Linked DNA regions of Styela clava. The protein of the gene in region 1 interacts with the protein of each later gene in a biochemical or structural test. Links are inferred from orthologs where the notes say so. Each region holds a gene or a part of one and is shown on either strand. Other genes may lie near its edges.

Evidence for each region.
Region 2: the proteins of trifunctional enzyme subunit alpha, mitochondrial-like (region 1) and trifunctional enzyme subunit beta, mitochondrial-like are reported together in a solved structure, tested with the Homo sapiens proteins (2 studies listed by IntAct, with this or other methods). The link is inferred for Styela clava from reciprocal best matches to the Homo sapiens genes HADHA and HADHB.

Annotation. Positions count from the first base shown.
Region 1 is NC_135264.1:2,096,328-2,100,262, reverse strand, and holds the start of trifunctional enzyme subunit alpha, mitochondrial-like, read left to right. Parts: upstream 1-1,678; 5' UTR 1,679-1,800; coding exon 1,801-1,876; intron 1,877-2,371; coding exon 2,372-2,413; intron 2,414-3,414; coding exon 3,415-3,482; intron 3,483-3,935. UniProt on the Homo sapiens protein: Mitochondrial trifunctional enzyme catalyzes the last three of the four reactions of the mitochondrial beta-oxidation pathway.
Region 2 is NC_135264.1:2,221,945-2,225,879, reverse strand, and holds the start of trifunctional enzyme subunit beta, mitochondrial-like, read right to left. Parts: upstream 2,511-3,935; 5' UTR 2,392-2,510; coding exon 2,331-2,391; intron 1,499-2,330; coding exon 1,363-1,498; intron 950-1,362; coding exon 835-949; intron 627-834; coding exon 509-626; intron 1-508. Other genes in the region: peroxisomal ATPase PEX1-like, read right to left, coding at 3,304-3,935. UniProt on the Homo sapiens protein: Mitochondrial trifunctional enzyme catalyzes the last three of the four reactions of the mitochondrial beta-oxidation pathway.

The DNA.
Region 1 (3,935 bases):
ACCATTTATTGCATATATGATTGGTAATGAAATGAACTCTTGCAGAACATGATATATGTTCGAAGTGAAAAACCTAATCAAAAAACAGGTACAATGAACTAACCATTTAAAAAAAAATCGTACAGTATAAAGGTGATTTGTAACTGATATGTCAGTTTAAATAATTCGTAACCGTTAACAATCTAAAATCGGTTAACCAATAAATCATTCCAAGCCCTACTTCAAACGAGCTGAATCCTAAAATGAAAAAAATATCTCATAAACGGGTTGATTCCGATGATGCCATTTTCGAGTAACATTTCGAGGCTGACAGTTTTTCTACGTGGATAGTCGTGAGCTGTTATCCGTGTGATCCAAACTAGAGCATTGCCAGACGAGAGACGACCCTGAAACGCCGATTATGTCATGATTCTTGTTTCCCAGGGAGCACGGCCGCAATTGCCCTGCATTCGGGGATAATAATACCTCGACACTTGTCACGGTCTCTGAAGCGATGTTTTGAATTGATATAGGCCTACCGCTCAACAGGGCTGCCACTTTTGTCTGAATAAAAACATCTAGTTTGACCTCAAAAAACATCTAGACTAAAAAACAAAACATTAAAAAATATATAAAATAGGAATTTACTAAAAAAAAATTGTACGTATAATTTATACAATTATATTGCTCTCTCCAGTTTTGTGATAAAAATCCCTTGGATTTCATCTTGGCAGCCCTGCCACTCAGCCGTTTAATTTGAACATTTGCTATTGTCAAGACCTGTTTTTCACGAAGCAGTCGAAAGTTGTATGGTCAACATTGTTGTAAACGTCGCATCCTCGCCAAATATTACATTGAATGTGCACCTGTTGCATGTTCCTGAAGTATAAATATAACTTGGGAATAGGAAATCAGTTATTTGTTTTGGATGGTCAGACTTGTAGCTGACTTTAAAATCAAACATGCGATCGGAAGACTGCCTAAGAGTCGCTGGGCCAGAAGTACCGGTATACGAAACGACCAGTGAGAAACAAACCCGGAACTTTATTCCGATTGAAAAGATACGCAAAACATAAAAAAGGTTTATAGGCTAACGAGTGTTGTGTAGCCATCGCTTGTGTTCATTCACTCACACAAGTGACAAGAAAAATCCCACGACACCCTCACTGAAGCGAAAGAATAAAGTCAACCGGCATATATGAGTACGTGAAAATAAAATTCACGGCGAAGTTTCCTTGTAAAAAATTCTGGTGAGCGCAAGGGGTTAGAACGAGAATTATGTGACGATGCCAGTGGCAATATGCGAATTCTAATTATAACATAGTGATAAGCTTCTGTTTAGATTAGTAAACAAAAAGAAAGAAATAAACAACAAAAGTTAAAATTCAATATTAGTTTGGGCGCTGCTTCTTGTGGGGCAACTAGCAGAACAATGCAGTTTCGAAATGTGACATTGCGCAAAGGTAATGGTAACCTTTGGACTTTACACTTAAAAAATTCTTCTCCATAATGAAACATCTTATAAATATATCGTATATTTATTATTTTATATTTTGATTTAATTAAAGATACGATTTCTTAGACTAATCTTAAAATAGGAAACGGTAAGATAAGACAGTATTTGCTAAGAATATGTTACTCCGTATGACGTAATAATTGCACGCATGACATCATATATGCCGGCTTAACCATTTGACCTTTGGGGATTCGTTGCGAATTGCTTGCGGATTCTTGTGTTTTTTTATATTTGTTGTTGGTTTTTCAGTTTTTCTTCAGTGGTATTTTCTACGATAGTTCGCGAAGATTCCCCAATGCTCCACGATGTCTTCAATTATAAGATGTCTATCCTTAAGTCGAAATACCGTTTTACGAAGAACAGTGGATAGATTTGTAACTGGTAAGATTCTGTATTCATTTGTTGTTTCGCACATTCCTGCATTCTGACTTATTCTAATCTCCCGTATTCTGATATTCAGTATTTCATATTGACAAATGCAGATTACTCAAAGCACTTTATATTCTGATACAATCTGTGGATCTCACTATTACTGGATTGCTGAATTTTCTTTTATTCAACATTCATTAATTTACAAATTAAAATAACATGCATCTGCATCATGGTAGTCCAAAAACTATGGTACTGAATTGATAAATTTTTTTGAAGATTTTGCTTAACACGGTAATAAGTCTGTAAGTACTGAAATAAGTGGACTAATGTGGTTATGCTAACTGTTTCCTCTATCAGACCAATTAAATAATATTTCTATATTAACATATACCGGTATATCACCACACCTGTCTGCCTGTATACAGGTATATTTTTAGTGTATGTCTCTATGTGATATATGCCATGATTTGGAGCACATGTATAATTTCTACTTTATATTTCCAGGTTCAGCAAATAGATATCTGTCAACCTCATCCCAAATGAATGGTGAGATAACTTATCGAATCTGGTTGATTTAACCCCAGACAAGAAGTTTATTCAGTAGGGCACGGTTCCCCAAACAAACCCAAGATTTTACGATATTTTGTTCAATAAAACAAAAAGTCTATTTGTTCCTGAAACGAGGGCGTCTGGCACAACTGCAGATGGGTCAGATTACGCCATGCTTTTCTCTGTAATAATCTAAATTAATCGCGGCCTCCATGTGAGAAAAATTTGGGCATTATGGTAAAAAAAATTTCCTTCGGTAAATTGGATTATATTTTTCGAGCAATCCCGATTGCGCTTCCTTTGATTTTAGTTTATTGCACAAGGTTGGTTTGTCGATACTGATATGGAGACCCACACTGTCTCGTAAAGAAGGGATTTGTACTGGCTATTATAATTGATTTCTTCAATGTGGGGGTTATTCTTGGAATCGGAAAACTGTGCTGTACTGTATTATTCTTACAACTATTCACTCAAATGTTATATTCTTGATTGTCTTGAAATATGTAGGCCAAACATGGAAATTGCATTGGAAACTTAAGTATGCCAGTGTGGTGTTCTTGCATTTGAAAGGTATTATTTTCGGGTCTCCTGAAGTACTTCTAGTTGGCCTGGCTCAACAAATTTTGCATATCACATTCCAAACCCCTACCTGACTACGCCATTCAAAAATCTCATCACTGCGAAGTCGCAGTGCCGTAATACGGCCCTCAAAGTATACGAATGGTCACGCAGACAGTCATTCAGAATTGAGCAAGCTATTTCTCTCGTTTTTCTCGACATAACGATATCGTTAAGAGAGAGATTGCTGACATTAGTGAGTTCATTATAGTCGGTTCAAATGCCATTTTGGACAATTGTAGCTATACTTTAGCAAGCGTACATCTGGAGACCCTTACTTTTGACATGCAGATTGCTAAATTTTTTTTTCAATTCAAACATTTTGGCAGTGATTATATTATATGTCATATTATGTATGCTTGTAAATGCTGTTTTTGCAGGTAAACACATCACTTTTGAAGTTCAAAATGACGTTGCTATATTACGGCTTGATTCACAAGATGCCAAGGTTTGTGTGATAAAATACTATGAATACAATACTAAAAACCCGATATACCCTGTATTGGAGAATGAAAATTTCCTTACTATGGAACTACCAAATATCATGTGCAGTTACGGTAACTAACTATTGGGGTCAGGGGTGAAGTGAACACCTCCCTAATCTAAATCCCAAAATATGAATTGAGAGATTTAGATTTTAAATTGCGTCGAATATATATATATACTTGTTTTATTCATCATCATGTATTTATTAAAGCATCTGAATATTACCTCTTTCATTTTGGATCATGCTGGGGACATGGTGTGAAATCACAATGCCTTCATCTCAGGAGGTTCGTTTTGACCTTTCCATTGAGATTTTTTGGTATAACCACCACCATGAAATAATATCTGTTCAAATGCATTTAACACTTTTGAATGTGTGTATTTCTGTAAGGTTTCGTCTGACCAAAGACTGACT
Region 2 (3,935 bases), about 130 kb from region 1:
ATTTTTTAAATTTCGTATATTAGAATAATAATTTCAAATATACCAATAGGTTGTTAGAACGCGCTTTCGTGATATTAGACTTATGTAGCTGACTTCAGGTATATAAAAAATTTTGATAAAAATCTGGTGGGTTACCTAGTAATTTTAGAGGGTCAACAGCAGTTGAAGAGAGTAAAATCCATGAATCAGTGTTTGAGAGGACTTGATTGGCACTCTAATTACAATTTATTGAAGGCTATCAAAGTTACTCAAGCCATCTAAATGAAACGACTTGTACTCAGCTAATCGACAGTGAGACTTATCTCAACGAGAGACAGTGGCGTAGCGTAGCCAGGAATATTCAAAGAGAGAGGGATCTGAAAATTTCTAATTGCCAAGTTGAACCGTATGAGTCAGGCGGCCGGAAAAGTGTCCAAAAAGTACTTCAATCTATGAAAAATTGGTGTGTATGATACAGAAAATCAAGGTCTTTGTTCCAATACTGCTTTGAATCACATGACTAATATACCTGTTGTTATAGCTTGATTGGATGAAATGCAAGCTTGTGATACAGTATGTGCTGGAATTTTGTTAGAGAATCCTGCACCAAGAGCTGCTTCTCTTGCTATATTAGGAGTTTTTGCTTCCTGCAATATAAATCTGTTATTTAGTATCTGTTAGTACCTGTTATTACAGACTTATTTGCTGAAAAGTAATATTAAAATTAGGAACATTGTAAAAGATGAAAATCTTGCGACAAAATCTTTGAAATTTATTTAAACAGGAAGAATTTTGAAAAATATCGAAAATATTCTGAGTACCAAGTATAGACTTTGCATTCTAGCCATTAATTACCTGAATTACTGTTCCTACTGTAATGTAATCAACATCAGTCGTAGAAATTCCAGTTCTTTTCAGCAATCCGAGCATCGCTTCCCTTGCAAGGTCATGAGGCATGAGATTTTTATATCTGGATAAAATGATAGCAATTGTAACTTGTAGTTTGGCTTGACAGTTAGAGCATCATGCTAAGTATTAAGACTATGCTTGCAGTAGCACCTCTTGCTAACACTTTATAAGGGGTTTATTATGAGTAACAGGAGAGATATCTTAAAAGATATCTTAAGGACATGAAAGATTGGCGGAAAAACTGGGTGAAATATTGGGTCGCATGGGTCTCCGAGAAAATTTGAAAAAAAATAAAAAGCTTTTTAGTGTCACTACCCATCTGTGAGTGATAAAAATTTGTAATCGTTCATTCCTGTGGGGCATCAGTTGCAGAGATGGGCAATTTTTCTACAATAATAATAATATATAACCTATCTATTTAAACATTCTGGACTAGTAAATGGATCGTATAAAATATGTTACAATTATACTTACTGAGTTCCTGACATTAAAAAAGGTGTTCGAACTCCTTCAACTAATACAATATTTGGTTTCCCACTTTGTGACAATGTTTTCTTTGATTTTGCCGCAGCTGCTATGTGAATTGAACATCCAAAACATCTTGCTGAAACTGTCAAAAAAAAACAAATATAATAAAGCTTGTATTAAATCTAGTAATATAGTCTATGTCGAAGTTGAGAAGGGTAGAAAAATAAGCAGTCTTCCATATGAAAATAGGACTGATATGTATATCGATATCTCCATTGCAACAAATTAGTTTATATGACATTTCATAGTCGCAAGTCGCAACCCTCCGCTGTTAGTTGAGTGCACTTGGTTTCAATCTGAGGGATCTTGCATAAAAAGATATGAATAACGCATGTAAAAATATATGTATTTTAACTAAGGCAGGGGTGTGCAACCTTTAATACTGGCTGGAAGGCTAGATATGAATAACTGGATCTGATTTAACAAAGGTTTTTTAGTAGTTGCAGACACAAAAACTTTGGTAATTGATCTTATGACATGCGTTGTTCGCAAAATCTCAGGTATTGGACTCAGGAATAGGCTTTGCAATGCAAAAGAATTGGAATTTCTCACACATACTAAATTAAATTAAAAACTCCTCTCGCTGGCCGCACACCATTTAAAATTGGCACTTCATCGCTGGCCGCACAATTTTTCCTCGTGGGCCGCAGGTTGCACACCCCTATGCAAGGCTTTAGGACTGAACTATGATGATCATATTGTAGTTCATTGGGTTCAAATTCCATGCCCAACACCTCACCCAGGGTGTAAAAATTTGAGAAAATGCTGAACCCGAAAGATTCATGTCGTCCAAATCATAGTAGTTCCTTACAGTTACAGTGGCTACTTGTGTAGGGCCTTGTTTATAGCAAAAAACATGAATAAGTCATATAAAAAAGAGGGTGGCACAATAACATTTCAAATAAAACTCCTACCTTGAAAAAACGGCACTTTGTTGAGATTTGCTTTATTGAGTGTTCTTCCTATGCCAGCCATTTTGTTTAAAATTATCCTACAATAGAACTAGATTGGAACTTAAACTAAAATAGAGAAATGAATAAATTATGATTATAATAAATTAATCCACTCATTTTTTTCAAACTTAATAAAAAGACATGATTGCATAAATTATGAAATTTTTCAGCATGAAGCTGCTCGAAGTAAGATTACAATAGATCATTCAAAAAGTCTTAACATCAACACTTAATAACGAAGGAGAATAAAATTATGCACATGTATGATTTTCACTGATAAATTTGAACTTGGTACTAAAAAAGGGGTACTCCCGAAGTATGTGAACCAAGATGGCGAACACCGGAACGTAGTATGTAATAAGGAAAATTGGAATAAAATTATGGTCCAACTCTAACCTGGTACACATGCTACTTTCCGGTGTCTGCCATCTTGGATCACATACTTTGGGAGTACCAAATAAGGTACAAATGATTCGCAGAATAAGGACATAAACATTTGATAAAATAATTCAATACAAACAAAACTCAAATTGGCACCAATTTGCCAAGAATCAAAAGTTTGTAATTAATTGACTTTTCTTTTCAAATTTTACAAAGATGACAATAGATTGGATTATTTTAAACTAGAAAATATTTTATAATCACGTATGGTCATATATGCACCAACAATGTCATGCTTATGCAACAAATGCCTGTATCTTAATAACTAACTGATCGGAATTCTAGAGTAAAAGTCAACAAAAGCACCAATGTTACGAATCAAACCAAGTCAATATATTTATTAAAAATTGGTTTTATTTTATAAAATCATAATATTCCTGTATTATCAAAATCAATACAAGGTTATATTAGTTTTGAACATGGGACAATCTAGCACACATCCAATATTTCAGATTTCAATATTACTGTGTTGAACTGTAGCAAAAATAAATTATTATGCTAATGTTGCTCTTTGTTGTCTTCGCAGATCCCATAAGGTCGAATTTGGAAGATCCGTATCATTAGATTCCAAATTATTCAACGATTTCCCAGTAAAGTTCTGGCAAATTTCGATATATTTCTGACGCTCTGTACTTGACACAGAAGGACCTGCAGATTCCAAAGCATTCTCGATATCTTGATTCGAAACTGCTAACCTTGAAATTTGTCCTTGCTCAGAGTCAGTTCCATCAAAAGATATTTTCGTTTCATCACAATTGCGATCTGACACTGTTTCAATAATTTGACGAATCTGTTCAGGTAATTTACCTTCTTCCATTTTTGAATATAAAGAAGGGAAGTAAATTCCGCGCATTGAAGACTTTTTACTGTGAGAACTTCGGTCATCTAACTGGTGTAAGTCACTAGAGCTGTATTCTGGTGACGATAAACCATAACAAATTTTATACTCATTACTCTTTGAATTTGTTTTATTGGTTGAGCCATTTTCAATAGATTTGACTAAATTTTTCGCTGTTTTTGTGAAATCTGAAATAGTGACTTTAGGAATGCCTGTTGATGAATCTGAATCCATATCTTCATCTTTTAAGTCATGGTGTAAAGATTTTATTCCATTACTACTGTATT